Lonchura striata: one gene and its partner. The protein of the gene in region 2 purifies or fractionates together with the protein of the main gene of each other region. This does not show direct contact. Links are inferred from orthologs where the notes say so. Each region holds a gene or a part of one and is shown on either strand. Other genes may lie near its edges.

Evidence for each region. Proteins that work in one complex are often made in the same cells at the same time.
Region 1: the proteins of PIDD1 (region 2) and CRADD purify together in Homo sapiens (affinity purification with western blotting; 8 studies listed by BioGRID and IntAct, with this or other methods). This does not show direct contact. The link is inferred for Lonchura striata from reciprocal best matches to the Homo sapiens genes PIDD1 and CRADD.

Annotation. Positions count from the first base shown.
Region 1 is NC_134607.1:53,676,158-53,684,025, reverse strand, and holds the start of CRADD (death domain-containing protein CRADD), read right to left. Parts: upstream 3,042-7,868; 5' UTR 2,905-3,041; intron 2,501-2,904; exon of another isoform or gene 2,419-2,500; intron 1-2,418. UniProt on the Homo sapiens protein: Adapter protein that associates with PIDD1 and the caspase CASP2 to form the PIDDosome, a complex that activates CASP2 and triggers apoptosis.
Region 2 is NC_134608.1:44,802,646-44,810,478, reverse strand, and holds the start of PIDD1 (p53-induced death domain-containing protein 1), read left to right. Parts: upstream 1-4,811; 5' UTR 4,812-4,858; coding exon 4,859-5,132; intron 5,133-6,866; coding exon 6,867-7,280; intron 7,281-7,829; coding exon 7,830-7,833. UniProt on the Homo sapiens protein: Component of the DNA damage/stress response pathway that functions downstream of p53/TP53 and can either promote cell survival or apoptosis.

The DNA of each region.
Region 1 (7,868 bases), on a different chromosome or scaffold from region 2:
AAGCACTTGCCAGTCCTTAAGAGACACAATCCCCCAAAATTAAAGAGATGTTACACCTGACCACTGCTAGAATTACAAAAGCAGCAGCAGGACAGGTACATTCATCTCAGCCAGGCAGAAGCAACAGCAGCAGCAGGGACAGAATCAGCAGGTAGCTTTGGCCTACATGATGCAGTTCAAGTTTAAGAGGGGTAGAAAAGTATCTTATGTACCACGTCGTTCTCACCCTTGAATCATCCGGGAAGATTGCTCTAGAACTCAACTGCTCTGATGAGAAGAAACTTTCTTTGAATTTCCATCTCAGATTTATCCCTTTCTATTTATAGGCATATCTTCTGCCAAAACTGTTCTTTAGCTTAAATAGCTTTTCTCCCTCTCTTCTTATGTGCTCACAGGAAGGGATCAGATGCCCTCTGCCAGCTTCCATTTCACTTGACTAACACTCTGACTAAACAAAAGCTCAAGATGCATTTTATAGCCACTCTATGAAAGAATAATCAGGGTCCAGAGAGATCAAGCAGCTCATCCAAGATCAAGTCAGCAGTCCATGCCAGACCTTCAAACCAAATCAAAGTGTCTAGTCTAGTTCTTAACAACAAACGTATCCCTGAGCCCATTTAATGGCACTTGAAAATGACAGGACAACACAATTAAATACTTTCTCATTACTAAATAATAAAGTCAAAAAATAGCAGCAGGTGTTGAGTGTGATTACCAAGAGGGTTTCTCACAATTAAATTAGGCACTGCTGTTTGAACCGCTAAACTTTGCAAAAACTCTACTTCATTCAGCTTGAGGGTACAAGAAGAGACAGAATTCTCAAAGCTTTTACATGAAACTTGATGAAGTCTTTTTGCCATCAGAGATGCCTGCTGACTCCCAGAGCCCCATCAAAGACTGTGTGGTTGGCCTGGTTGTTAAAATCAAGGAGGGTGACTAACAGAACATACTGGCATGTAAATGCCACCTTGGACAGAATGCAAGAGCACAGTGTCATGAGAGACACTGGAAAACCCTGTCTGTGATATCCTCTGACAAAGCTACTTTCCAAAAATGCTTCCATCAAGTGCTAAAAGCACTGCTGGAAAGTATCTTCCTGGAGGACTCCATCCTTCCCAGGCTATCCAGTGCATTTCTCACCTACTATAGTGAATTTCTAGTTCTTACCTTCTGTCTAGGGATCATGTGGGAATCAAACACTGTAATGCCTATGCTATGTCCCTAAGAAATGCCAGTTTACCCAGCACAGTTCAAACATCAAACACCATCATGGACTGAGACAGTAGTGCAAGCAAGGAGATGGAAAAAGAGCAGGCAAGAAAGAGAAATGGCTTTTCCCACTGAAGCTGAAGATTCTGGTCTCTAACACATAGTACCTTTACACTGTAGAAAGCAATCTCTGGACTACAGCAAAATTCAGGCAGTAAATCCTACCACTTCTTCTTTCTAGGAGAACACCCTTGAGCTCATGAAGCACTTGCAGAGTTCAAGAAAGGCATCCAGCAGCACCTCTGAGGGTGTCATCTCAACCCAGGCAGAAAACTGTTTCACATACTAAAAAATTTTTGTGTTGCATATTCTGAATGGGCCCTGAGAGTCCCCATTCAGGAGCCTCCTCATATGCTGGATGACTGTACAGAACTTGATGAGTTCCTCTTCTTCACAACCAAAGCAGCCAACATTTTTCAAAAATAAATCTTACAAACCAAAGGTTTGCACCTTTGGGCACTGAGAAATGCCTATCAGCCAGGGATCAGAAGGGGGAATTTCTGCTGCAAAAGCCCTTTGCCTTGCTGACTGCAGAGTGTGTACAACAGAGGGTTTAAAGTCCTTGCATCAGCCTGGTAAACTTCCAGGATGGGGCATACCGGTTTCTGAGGTCTTTTTAAAGATAAAGTATTTGTATGTGTTTACGATGATAAGCAAATGTCTGACTTAGGAACTAAGCAGCTAGATATGGAAATATATCAGGATTTTGATGTGTAACAGTGTTGGGACAGAGTTTAGTGCAACACAGAAGTAACAAATTCATTTAAATCACCGTCTGTATCTACGGATTCAAAGTAAGCTCTGAATTAAATTTAGTCAAGTAATTTTACAGAAAATGAAAACTATGAGATGTCCATTTACGCAAAAGATGACTCAAACATTCCCTAGATACTTCTGAAAATGGATTTTTTTCCATTATAAAGCCAAATTTTAAGAAATATAGCCCATGACCTGCTGAATGAGCAGTCCTTGACTCATCACCACATCAACACAATCAAGTTTGCCTTTTTCTGGATCTGACAGAGTGACTGTACATAAATGGGGATAAAACTTTTTATAAGAACCCCTGCTGACACTAAAAAGGCAAATTCACTTAAGTTTTTCCGCTAGAAACATTTCATTGTTTTCCAGAACACCAACTGCACTCACCTGACTACCCCATGAATTATTCTGGCTACTCACAGCAAGCCTACAGGTCAAAAATCTTACACATCCCCCCCACCCCGCCAGGAAATTTAAAAAAAAAAAAAAAAAAAAAAAGGCAAGTTTTGCTTTTAAAGTCTTCTCTGCCGAGCGCCGGCAGCTGCTGCTCGGGTAGCAGCAGCCAGGGGCCAGCTGCCCGCACCGCGGCCCGAGCCCCGCAGGCAGCAGCAGCGCCCGGCCTTCCTCCCGTCCCGGCCTCCCGCCGGGCAGGGCTGCGCGGAGGCGGCCCCGCCGGCCCGGCCCGGCCTCCCCGCGGAAGCCCGGCCCCCGCCCCGGCCCCGCAGCGCCGGGGGCGCCGCCGAACGGCCCCGCGGCACCGCTCTCCCGCTTCCCCCGGCCCTCCCGCCCCAGGCGCTGCCGAGGGCAGCCGTCGGCAGCGCCCGGGCAAGCGAGCTGCGTGCGGGGAGCGCCCGCCGCCCCGCCCGTACTCACCCGAGGGGAGCGGGAGGCTACCCGGGAGGCGCCGGCGCCCGCGGAGCTTGCGCGGGAAGCACCATCTTTGTTGAAGGCAGCAGGGCGCCGCCGGAAGCCGCCGCCGCCGCCCTGCTGCGGGCCGGCCGAGGAGGGGCGGCCGCTGCCGGCCGGAGCGCGGGAGGGGCCGCGCCCGCCGTGCCAGCCGCGGGGGCCGGGACCGGGACCGGGGCCGAGCGGCCGCAGTGCCAGCCGCGGGGGCCGGGACCGGGACCGGGGCCGGGACCGGGGCCGAGCGGCCGCAGTGCTAGCCGCGGGGGCCGGGACCGGGGCCGGGGCCGGGACCGGGGCCGAGCGGCCGCAGTGCTAGCCGCGGGGGCCGGGACCGGGGCCGGGACCGGGACCGGGGCCGAGCGGCCGCAGTGCTAGCCGCGGGGGCCGGGACCGGGGCCGGGACCGGGGCCGAGCGGCCGCAGTGCCAGCCGCGGGGGCCGGGGCCGGGGCCGAGCGGCCGCAGTGCCAGCCGCGGGGGCCGGGACCGAGCGCTGGAAGGGGCCCGGCGCTGCCGCCGCTGCTCCTTGCCGCGGCCGGGGCCGGGGCGGGGACGGGAGGTGACTCCGCCAAGGAGGTGCCTTTCCAGGAATTCGGAGGACCTGCTGCGCTATCAGGAGTCAGGGTGGTGGTGGGGGTGTTTAGTGAGGAGAGGGGTTGTATCCAAAATTAAATTCGGAATTACGAAATTGCAGTTTTAATGATATTAGAAACAGCTGATCTCATTACTCCCTAGGTACACTGGTTGCTATCTGTGAGTATGCGCTAAGCTGAACTTCATCCTGGTGCTGGCATCGTCGTATCAAACACAGAGCAGTATTATATCGAATAATGGACACATTTAGCTTCATTACTTTCATCTGAACAGCTTAAAAATGAAGAATCTTTTAATAGATGAAAATAATTTATTAAATTAAGAGCTGGCCTGTGTCTACCACAATGCTATGGACATTCTGTTGTTTTATTCCTCTACTAGTGAATAGTGTATTATTCACTTATTTTTATATGGATACCTGGAAACGAAATATGGTAGAGAGGAGAAGAGTGTGATTCACAGAGCTGTAAAAATGAGGTGGTGTCACTTTCACTCACACATCATGAAATAACTTTTTTCCGTCTTTGCATAGGTGTCAGGTGTCACACGGGATTGATGGTGTCAGCCCTTTTTCTTTCATGTCGGGACCGCAATAGTGATGAAAGGGGAAAAAAAAGATCTTCCAGTGCTGGAACGTACTACCTTTGAAGCTGCAGGCAGGCACAGCAAGCTGGCTGTGGTCTGCACAGCGTGCTAATACCTACCCTCTGGAAAAGCAGGAAAAGTGGTTGCTGCAGCTGCTGCTAGAAACGTCGTCACCTTGTGAACCCCATTTGTACACTCTGTTTAGACTAATTGTACAAATTTAAGGGTATTTGAAATATTTAAGGGTAGTTGGAAGCTAGTTGTGGAAACCTTTACATGCCTTTCCTAGATACTGTACCCAGGAAACTGTACTGTACTGTACTTGCCATGGAAAAATGTAACCAAGAGTAGAGTTCACATTCTGCCTATGCTTAACATTATATTTATCTACAAGATTTTGCATAAAGATAGGCAGTCACACTCAGGAATCTTAATTCCTTTTCCTTTGATTTTCCTGTGGCTGACAGTTGAAAATTTATGTGGACACAGAATGTAAATCAGCCTTAAAGGCAAAGTTTGTATGCTGGTTTTAAGAAATGTTTTAAAAATATAGATACATATATCATGTGGCCAGCTTCTGCAGGGATGCTACTTATTTGGCAGTTTTAAAGCAGTGTTTTGGTTTCATGACATAACACTTTTATCTATAATTATATATAAGTAATAAATTGGATACAGGGGGTTAAATTGCTTGTGAATAATTGATAAATAATATCTTCTTACAATACAGCTGGTAAACCAAGGTAAATATTTTTTTTGTCTCAGGCACATGTTAGTCTTCTAGGAATGAAGATATAAAAAAATCTAAATACTCCTCTGGGTTGTTTCAGAGCAATGCATTAACATATTTGACAACACTGGAAGCCACACAAGTAAGTCATCATCATCAGTAACTCCAAGAAGTATGCTGCTGTTGTAGCCAAAGTACAACTGAGGTGGTGTTAAATTTTCTTGCCACAACGTTTGTAATACTAGTTGTGAGGAGATACGTTTGCAAACAGTACAGCACAGCTCCAGGGAGCAGAGACACCACAAACTGCCTGTATGATTGTTCCTCAACAGAGCACTGCATAGCTACTGAGAGTTTCCTGTCCCAGCTTCTTGTACTTCTGATTGTCAGTGCTGCTGGTTTTCTCTCTCTTCCTTCCTTTCTTCCTTTTTCTTCCTTTCTTTCCTTTCTTTTCTTTACTTCCTTTTCTTTCTTTCTGTCATGATCTAAGGGTCTGTATTATATCTGGAATTGGAGTGACCAAACTTGGAGGCTTCAGAAAATCTCATCATTGCAATCCTGACAGCTGCTTTTAATTGCAGATAATGTGGCTGCATTTTAAAATAGAAAATTAGGACAAGCAGTTACATCACTTTATTTACTATATCCTTTTGCCAGATGAGGCAATTTGATTTTTTAAATTTATACTATCCAAGAATGTCTTAGAAAGTTAGCAAAACATATGGATATGCATAGAGCGACTCCAGATTTCATTCAAGGAAATTACAGCAGTTATACAGTCAGCATTTAGTCATGTATTTGCTTGCAGTCTGAACAAAGATAGAAAGAAGGAAAGCAGTGAAAGGAAAGAGATAAGCCTAGGAAGGAAGAGGACAGCACCAGAGGTCCAAATCTCATTAAGGGAAAATCTGGCCCTTCCTTTTCCCCCCACTAGTTAATAACTAGTGCTGCAAATTTATTTAGTGGAAACTAAATATGCTACTGTGTTTTGGGTTCATCTTTAGCAACACAGACAGCTTTTGATTATATAGTACAGGTACAGGATAAAGACACAAAGAGTTAATACTTTAAATCCAAGGAGAGAAGTCCTTAAATTCTTTGTTTCAGTCCATTTTGGGTTCAACCCTCACTAAAGGTCTTCCACTTCTGGTCCAAGTTCAACAAAACTTCAGAGACATGGTTTGGTTCTACTTCAGTTTTAAGGACAAATAAATACATATATATATATTTTAGCCAGTTTGGTGTCAATTCAATGCCCCACTAACTGCTCAAATCTCAAAGCTAACCATGTAGATTAAAGAACTATTTCCTAGAATACAATGATCAATGGACTATAGTCAATCTTCCGCATCAGTATCCTCAGACTTTTAGTCTTAAAAGCTTGTGCTGTCTGGTTCTGCAGATTGAGGGGCCATCGGTGCTCATCAGGCCACACTTTTAAGGACTGCTGAATTCAGGGTCACAAGTCCAAATCTTTGGGAGCCAAGCTAAGCAGTATCTCTTCTGGCAATGCTATTCATTTTACATGTAAGTTAAGCCAGATTTTTACATTTATTATGCACCTTTTAAAAGCTCACTTAAAAGTCACAAACCTTTTTAGAAACTGTACCAGAATAATGAGATTTTTTAAATGCTTTTGAGAGGATCCTTTATGCTAATTAGAGTCAAGCTGTATCTAAGCATGTGTGTAATTTGTTTTCTACAGACTAGTTTGTTTTATGCTGATAACGAGGCCAAATGTGTTCTTAAAACTGGCACAAGCAGATTTAATGTATTAGGATTGTGCTGTTTTCAATTGTTTGCAGGACAGCATTCCAGCTTTAGGGACAAGAGAAAAAATAGGAGCCTCTAGATTTGTTTATTAAAAGCACATCTAATTGGTTAAATCTCTCACAAAACCTCAGAAATTAAGGGAAAAGAGAAATACATCTTGTATGCTTGCCTGTCAGTTTTATGAAAGAGTGCAGTGAACATTTCTGTAAGTCATGCATCTCAAAAACAGTGTTAAAATGTAAGTTAGGGTGAGCCAAACTAGGTGGCCTGAAGGCCAGATGAGGGTCTTGCAAACCATTGCTGTCCACTGCTATCCCAGGCAGTAACCCCTTCCCTTCCCCCCTCTTCTCTTCCTCCTTCCCCTGGTCCCCATTGCACTCCCCTTTGCAGCCGTGGGCCTCTGTAATGCTAACATCCAAATCTCCTGTGCCAGTCACTGAAAACCTGGCTGATGCCAAGGAAGGGAAGGGTTTGGTATAGAAAGTTTCCCCAAACTGTAGACCAAATCTTAGGCATGCTGTGCTGGATGCTGGCAGGATATGAGGGCACTAGATGCTCAGATGGGAAGGGGTGCTCTTGAGAAGCTCTTCAGGTGGCTTTTGCTACTCGAAAAATGATTCCTTATCCTTCCTAAAAAAAGATGACAGGCAGGACTGAAGCACATCACTGAAAGGGATTGGCCCTTGGGCTGCTGTGCAATTGTTCTGATACTCTGTAACTTTCATTCATTTAAATAATAAAGACTTTAAATTCAATGCAGATCAAAGAGAGGAATTACTATAAAATATAGGTGACACGTCATGAACTTCCTTGAAAGTAGTATTTTATTAAAAGGCACGTCCAGCACGTGGGTAAAATATAACACAGAAAGTTCTAAAGCATCTTAAAACATAGGGTTTAAACTGACTCTGTAGTGTCTATACATTTACATTTGTTTCCATAATAAAAATAAGTATTTATTAGCAGTACTGCAATGAATTCTTAGTGCTTTTTACTATGATACAAATAATCTCTAGCAAAAAGTTTAATGATAAATAATTATAAAAAGGAAGCAGGCATCCACTGCAAAACTTTTGTATACATTTCATTTAAAAAATCCAGTGAATTAAAAAAAAAAAGTGTAATTAATACTTGCAAAACATGACTCAGTATTTCTCAGAATTTGTAGTCCTTTAAACATATGAATTAATGTAGTTCTCTATTTTTAAGTTTAATTTAAAGACTCTTTGAGGAGACGGATGAAATACTGCA
Region 2 (7,833 bases):
GCGGGGCCGGACGGCACCACTGCCGCGGAGGGGGGCGCGGCGCGCGCTCACCTGGGCGGCGGCGGCGGCGCGGGACGGCGGCCTGGGACGTGCGCGCGCGAGGGCAGGCGGAGGCGAAAGGAAGGGGCGGGGCCTCGGCAACGCCTTCTTCCCGCCACCCCTCAACAACGAGCGCTGCCATTGGGCCGCACCGGCGGGCAGCGCGCAGGCCAATGGGGAACCGCGGGTGCGGCCGCCGCCAGCGCGGCCGGCGGCGCATGCGCAGAGCGTGGGGTGCCCGCTGTGTGCTGCTGCGCGGCCTTGTTGTGTGTGCTGGGATGGGTGTGGTTCCCCAAAATCACGGAGTCACAGAGTGAATGAGACTGGAAAACACCGCTGCGACCATCCAGGCCAACCTCTTACCGAATACCACTCTGTCAGCTAGAACATGGCACTGAGTGCCACATTCAATCTTTCCTTAGACACCTCCAGCACCACCAGTCCCGGGCAGCCTGTTCCAAAGCCTGACCACTCTTTCTGTGGAGAAATTACTGCTGATGTTCAACCTAAACCTCTCCTGGCACAGCTTAATACTGTCCTCCAATTCTGGAATCCTGGCCTGGCCTGGCAGGATCAGCACAATCCCCTCTCTTTGTCCCATCAGTTGGGTTCTGCCTCCATGTGCACATCAGGCACATTCACACACAGTCTTCATATTTGCTTATTTTGTATCAGTGCAGAGATGGGCAGTGGGTGATGAATCCAGAAAGTCAGTGCCTGGCTCTGCATTTCTTCATGGAAAGGGTGGTCAGGCATTGGAAAAAGCTCCCCAGGGAGGTGGTGGAGCCATTGTCCCAGAGGTGTTCTGGGAACAGCTGGATGTACTAGTTAGCTTTGGTCTAGTTGGTCAGTGGTGGAACTTAATGATCTTGGAGTGGCCGGCAGGATTAGGGAAGTGAGCATCCCTCTGTACTTGGCACAAGTGAGGCCACCCCTCGAGCCCTGTGTCCAGTTCTGAGCCCCTCACTTCAATACAGACATTGAGGTGCTGGAATGTGTCTGGAGAAGGGCAATGGAGCTGGCAAAGGGTCTGGAGCACAAGTCTTGTGAGGAGCAGCTGAGGGAGTTGGGGGTGTTTAGCCTGGAAAAAGTGGGCTCAGGGGTGACCTTAGCACTTTGTACAGCCACCTGAAAGGAGGTTGTAGAAAGGCAGGGTTTAACCTCTTCTCCCAGGCAATTAGCAACAGGAAAAGACCTCAAACTGTGTCAGGAAAGGTTCAGCTTATATATTCAGAAGAATGTCTTCACACAAAGGGTGATTAGACATTGGAATAGACTGCCCAGGGCAATGGTGGAATCATCTTCCCTAGAGGTGTTTAAGGAAAGACTGGACGTGGTACTCAGTGCCATGGTCTAGTTGTCATGGGTTGGACTGAATGACCTTGGAGGTCTTTTCCAATCTGAGTAGCTTTGTGGTTCTGTGAAATACCTCAGCTCCATGTGTGGATCGGCTTCTTGCACACTGGGTGACAGAACCCGCTTGTGGGACAGCAGGGCTCTGTGCAGGAGGGACAGGGCTGCTGTCCTGTGCTGGGAGGCTGGGAGGTGGTAATCCATGGCAAGGTCTCGCCATAGGATTATGGGAGTCACCACCTGTGCTTGTTCACTTGATTTCCTGCACTGAGGAAATTAATAGAAGTAAAAAGTTAACACTGCGCTGAAAGCCATTGGACCCAAACAAACCAGGAGTGCTGGTTCAGCAGCAGAGCTGTGTGTGGGCTGTGGCTGTCCCTGCCTTGCTGCCCTGGAGGTGCCCCAGAGATCCTCAGTGTTGGGGCTTCTGTGCTAGTTCAGGTGCTCTCAGAAAACAACCAGGCTCAGAGTGCTACAACTCAGCCAGAGCCTGGAGTAGTCAGTGGTTACTGTCTACTATGTGTAGGAAGAGGAATTTCCCTCAGCCACGTGCAGCTTGCATCCAGAGTCCCAGAATGAATTCAGTTGGGAAGGTCTTCTGAGACCTTCAAGTCCAACCTGTGACCAAACACCACCTTGTCAACTAGACCATGGCACTGAGTGCCACATCCAGTCCTTCCTTAAACGCTTCCAGAGATGGTGACTAGATCAGTTCCCCGGGCATGTCGTTCTAATGCCTGAGCACCCTTTCTATGAAGAAATTCTTCCTGATGTCCAGCCTGAACCTGGACATCAGCTGGAGAGCATGTCCTCCTGTCCTGTCGCTTGTTTCTTGGGAGAAGAGGCTGAACCCCACCTGGCTACAAACCTCCTTTCAGGGCAGCCCCAGCCCTGCGCACTCTTAGGCTCGCAGCCCCTGCTCCATTTCTCTCCCTGGAATGAGCACAACCCCCGGCGGTGCCCGTGCCTCCCTCTCCCTTGGAGCCTAGGGGAGCCAGACGGGACGGGCTGCGGTGCCGGGACCGTGGCCGTGTCGGGAAATCTCCTTTCGTGCCCTTGCTGTGGCAGCAGGAAGGGCACGGCTCCCCATAGCAGCCGGCCGATGTCCCGCTGCCTCCAGCGCCTCCCCCGCGCCGTCCCGCCCCGGATCGCGGCGCGGCTCCCAAGAACTTTTCAGGAAGTGGCGGGCAGAGCCCGGCGCAGCCCAGCCCCGGCGGGCCGGGGCCGCTGCGGAGGGGTGAGAGCGGCGGGGCCGTGCTCGGCCGGGCACGGGGCGCGCCTGCGGCTGCTGCCGGGACCTGGGCAGCGGCGTGGGGTGACGGGCCAGGGGCACAGCGTGCTGCGGACAGCCCGGCCCGGCTGTGCGTGTCCGTGTGCGGGGTGTGTGTCCGTGTCTGTGTGCGGGGTGTGTGTGTCCATGCGGGGGGCTGTGTGTGTCCATGTGCGGGGTGCGTGTCCGTGTGCGGGGCTGTGTGTGTCCGTGTGCAGGGCTGTGTGTGTCTATGTGCGGGGTGTGTGTGTCCGTGTGCGGGTGTGTGTGTCCGTGTGCGGAGTGTGTGTCTATGTGCGGGGTGTGCGTGTCCATGCGCGGGGCTGTGTGTGTCCATATGCAGGGTGTGCGTGTCCGTGTGCGGGGTGCGTGTCCGTGTGCGGAGTGTGTGTCTGTGTTCGGGCTGTGTGTGTCCACGCGCGGGGCTGTGTGTGTCCATGTGCAGGGTGCGTGTCCGTGTGCGGGGTGTGTGTCCATGTGCAGGGTGCGTGTCCGTGTGCGGGGTGCATGTCCGTGTGCGGGGTGCGTGTCCGTGTGCGGAGTGTGTGTCTGTGTTCGGGCTGTGTGTGTCCACGCGCGGGGCTGTGTGTGTCCATGTGCAGGGTGCGTGTCCGTGTGCGGGGTGTGTGTCCATGTGCAGGGTGCGTGTCCGTGTGCGGGGTGCATGTCCGTGTGCGGGGTGTGTGTGTGTGTCTATGTGCGGGGTGTGTGTGTCTGTGTGCGGGGTGTGTGTGTCCGTATGCGGGGTGTGTGTGTCCGTATGCGGGCTGTGTGTGTATGTGCGGGCTGTGTGTCCGTGTGCGGGGTGCGTGTCTGTGTGCGGTGTGTGTGTGTCCATATGCGTGGTGTGTGTGTCCGTGTGTGGGGTGTGTGTCCGTGTGCAGGCTGTGTGTCTGTGTGCGGGTGTGTGTCCACGTGCAGGGCTGTGTGTCCATGTGAAGATGTGTGTTTCAGAGTGTCTGCAGCACCATGTCTACCCATGTCTGTTGCCCCTGAGGCCGCCTCTGTGGCTTCTGGAGATGCCCTCTGGTTCCTTCACCACTGACAGTTTTACAAAGCTATAGCTGATGGATTTTATTCTTACATGTGTCTGTAAGGGGGATATGTACATGTTGTGCACAATGTCTTTGTAAGAAGTGCTCACCTTTATACTAAAGCAGTAGTTTCACTTTTATCCCATTGGCACTCAGTTTCTCAAACCAGGTTCAACGAGGACCCAGTACAATTTGTGAGCTGCCTCTGGGCTCTGCTTCCTCTTCTTCTTGCCTTTACATTTCTGTCCTTTCAGAGTGAGGCATTTCTGCTGCTTCAGGGGATGACGCCTCCCCCAGACTGTGTCTTGGGAACATCAGTGCTGCCATGTCCCACAGGCTAACAGTAAAGGTGCTGCTCCTCAGGGTGTTGCTGGGGCATTATCTTCTTTCTGCTGGCCTTGGACTTTAAAGCCAAGTTTGTTCTAATTCTGCATTACTCAAAAGAAACTTCTGTTTACCAGTTTGATCCATGGCAGGGTTAACAAAGAGCTCCTGATATTCACACTGTGAGCTAGTTTAATTGCCCAGCTCAGGAGGTGTTACTCCTGCACCACCAACATGCCTTTTCTAACCCTCTTGCTGCCCCTATCACATTTTCTCTGCTGCCCTTTGTCCATTTGCTTTTATCCCATTGACACTGGGTTTCACAACCGGGTTTGATGGGGACCTGTCACAGTCTGTCACCTCTGGGCTCTGCTTCTGGCTCAGCTCTCCCTGCCCCAGTTTTCTTCTCTACTTGTAAAGCTTCCTACTAAGGCATCTTGAAATCTACATTAGGCGTAGGCATTTACATTTGTGTCTTTTAAAGTTAATATTGGTCTTTATTCTGATGGTGCATAATTGCTCCATTTCCTGCTGAGATGTTGGCTGGAAAAATTCAGAGGTTTTTCTCTAGGAGGAGAAGCCCCTGTGACATCTGTCATGTTGCATTTCTGTGCTCTTTGCTCCAAAGCTTTCAGTAGCATGCATGTAATCTTTCCTACCATCTTGCTGTGATTATGAACTGTTTCCAGCCACTCTGGACTGGGGCAGGAAGCTTCATTGTGTACCTGTGTTCTTTTTCAGAGCCATCTTTGCTCCTCTCCTTGTCCCAGCTGCCTTGTGGTGCTGCCAGTGCCTGCCTGCCTGGCAAGTCAGAGCATGTCTAGACCCTGTGGATGAGATGCAGAAGATGGCAGAGCTGCTGGGGCTCAGGGATGAGTGTGAGGAGGGGACTGTGGGGGCTCCTGCCCTCGCTGGCTCCTGCCTTGCTGACAACAGACTGAACCTGGATGTTTATCCTGACGGCTGCCGCCGTTTCCTCCAGCTATTCAAGGAGCAACAGGGAGAGGTGGTCCAGGTTGAGTTCCTCCGGCTCAGCAGCAACGATTGCCTCCTTGACACCACACTGGGCAGCCTTCCTCATCTGAAGCACCTGAAATCCCTGGTGCTTAAAGGTAAATTCTGGGGTCCGTCGCCATCCAGCTTTTCTAAGCTCATATTTTTTATCCTTCTCTCCATATCTGCAGGACAAACTGTCCTTGGAAGTGTTTTGTTCCAGTGCCCCTTACCTCAGCTTTGGCTCAGCCTTGCTCAGAGCTGAATGCAGATTTCAACATGATACAGCTTCTGGACTCTTATTTCCTCCCTTTGTTTTTACAGCTGCCTGGGGACTGGGTTTTTGGAGTCTCGTTCAGTTGATGCTGCAGCATTTTCTATAGCCATTCTCTAGAAGAAGAGCATTTTTGCAGTTATGCAAGAAGAGGGATTGAAAGGTGTTGAATCTTTTGGTGAATGTTCAGCCCCTATTTAGTCTTGCTTAGTGTAAGTTTAGCAAAGTTCAAGACAGACCAGAAAATGCTGTTTGACATTTTATGTAAAGTAGGACACAGGGTGTGCATGTAATTTAGAAAAGTGTGATAACTGTTAGAGCTATAAATATTAGATCATTCTTGGACTGTCTCATCAATTTATTGTGGTAGGATCTCAATACAACAAGCATTGTTTCTGTGTCAGACTGAATAATTTGCTCTTTGGGAGGTAGAATTTTAAAAATAAATGAGAAAAAAAAGGGGAGTTTTGGGGCAGAATTCAGGGTTCCAGCTGAAAACTGAAAAGTCTAAGGTTTGCTTCTATATCTGTCATAAATTTTCATGTGAATAATTTGATTTGTGTTTTCCCCCTTTAGTAAGGTGGCAATAACAGCAGTAACCTTTATCAGTCTTGTTTTGTGAGATGTACACACACCCTGAGCATTCTGAAGTGCAATAAAGTAGTTCAGTAAGATCTTATGTACAAAGTGCAATGTGCCTAGTTCAGTAAGCTCTTATGTACAAAGTGCAATGTGCCTATTTGCTTGTTCTCATTTTGTACCATTATGCAGCATAAAAAAATGTTTGGTGCCCTCTGCTGTATATGGATATAAATAGAAAACAGTAGAGAAGGAGTATGAAACAATGAATAAGTGGAACATTTGGAAGTTTCCTTTTGTTTGCTCAAGTTATTTTCCAGGGCTGCAGCCCTTCTCTAACTTGAGTGTCACAAGCTGGGATACGGAACTTTCATTCTTTGCTCTCTGTGTCTGCCTACAAAATACTGAATTACCTACTTCCCCCACACACATTTTCACTGCTTTCCTCCTGTCTGCCTAGAAAATACTGAATTACTTGCTTTTTCCTCCCGCATTTTCCCTGCTCAGACGTGCCCCCCAGTCTTGCAAGGGCAGATACCAGTCCTCAGGGCTGTTTGCTTCTGAACAGCATGGATAAATCATTGAGGGCAAGGACTATTTCCTTGATCCAGAAAGTCTTGTGCGTTGGCCACTGGTAGTGAGGAAGAAGTGAGGAAGGAGAGTGGGAGGCTTGGAGGTATATGGGCCATCCTGCTGAAGTGTGGTAAATGTGTGGGGTGGCGTGGCTCATTCTGAGCTTTCACTCCAGATGTGTTGAACAGAGCTGTACTGGTTCACTGTGGTATCTCCTGGTTTCATAACAGCTCTTCACTGTTACACTCCTTTCACTGATCAGGAAACAGGCACGGAGCAGAAAACTCACTTATCTGAGCACTTTGTGATTAGTGCTGCTCATTGTTATCAGTAACTCCCAATCTTGTGAATCTCTGTGCTGAGTCTCACATGAGGCTGGTGAGCTCTCCTGGTAGCATACTGACCTCTTCCATTTCCCTCCACCCAGGTGGCCTTGCTAGGGATGAGTTTGGTTCCTATCAACATGGCTCCCTGACAAGCTTGCCACCTGACTTTGGGGACCTCAGGTGTCTTACCCACCTGGATCTCAGCTTCAATAGACTCTCCACCTTGCCGAGCTGCATTCTCCACCTCCCCAGCCTCCGTGTGCTCCTGGTGAGCCACAACAGCCTGATGACACTTCCTGAGGACTTTGGCTCTCTGAGTAAACTGACTTTCTTCTCTGCAATGAAAAATCAGCTGAAAGACTTACCTCAGAGCATTGGGGAGCTGTCATTGCTGCAGGATCTGGATCTCTCAGAAAATGCTTTGGAACTGCTCCCTGAAGAAGTTGGGAATCTGCACAACTGTACAGAGCTGGATCTCTCTGGGAATCGCTTATTAAGCATCCCAGAATCCCTAGGTATGTATTTTATTGGGGAAGAGAAGGACGTGGGCTTTGCCAAGCTTTTGGTACAACCTCTGAGACTCTTGGTCTCTACCCCAGAGCTGTTAGCATAAACTATTTTATGTTGGAGCCAAATGGAAGGGGTATGCAGAAGGATACTGCTTGGTTCAGTCAGTGCCTTTGAGCATTAACAACTCTGGATCACACTTCCTGTTTCTGTGAATCATAAACACTGCTGAAATTTCAATACAATTTACAATGACTGAGGATCTGGCCTGGCTGGTTTTGGGTAGCAGAAGAGCTGAGGTTGGTGGGATGAGAATCTGGGCTTGAAATCACACTGTCCAGTGTGGACCAGTCCACAGAACTGGGCCCTGACTTCTGCTGGCCAGCATCCTGGGTCCTGTATTACTTTGTGACTGAGGCTGATTTTGCTGCTGTTAAGCTTTTGTGCTTTTCCCTCATTATGTGTGTGTTGACATGGGCTGAGGAGAGAGGGTTGGAGCTGATATGCAATGCAATTAACAGCACGGATGGGGGGTCATTTCTTGTTCCAACCTGCAGCCAA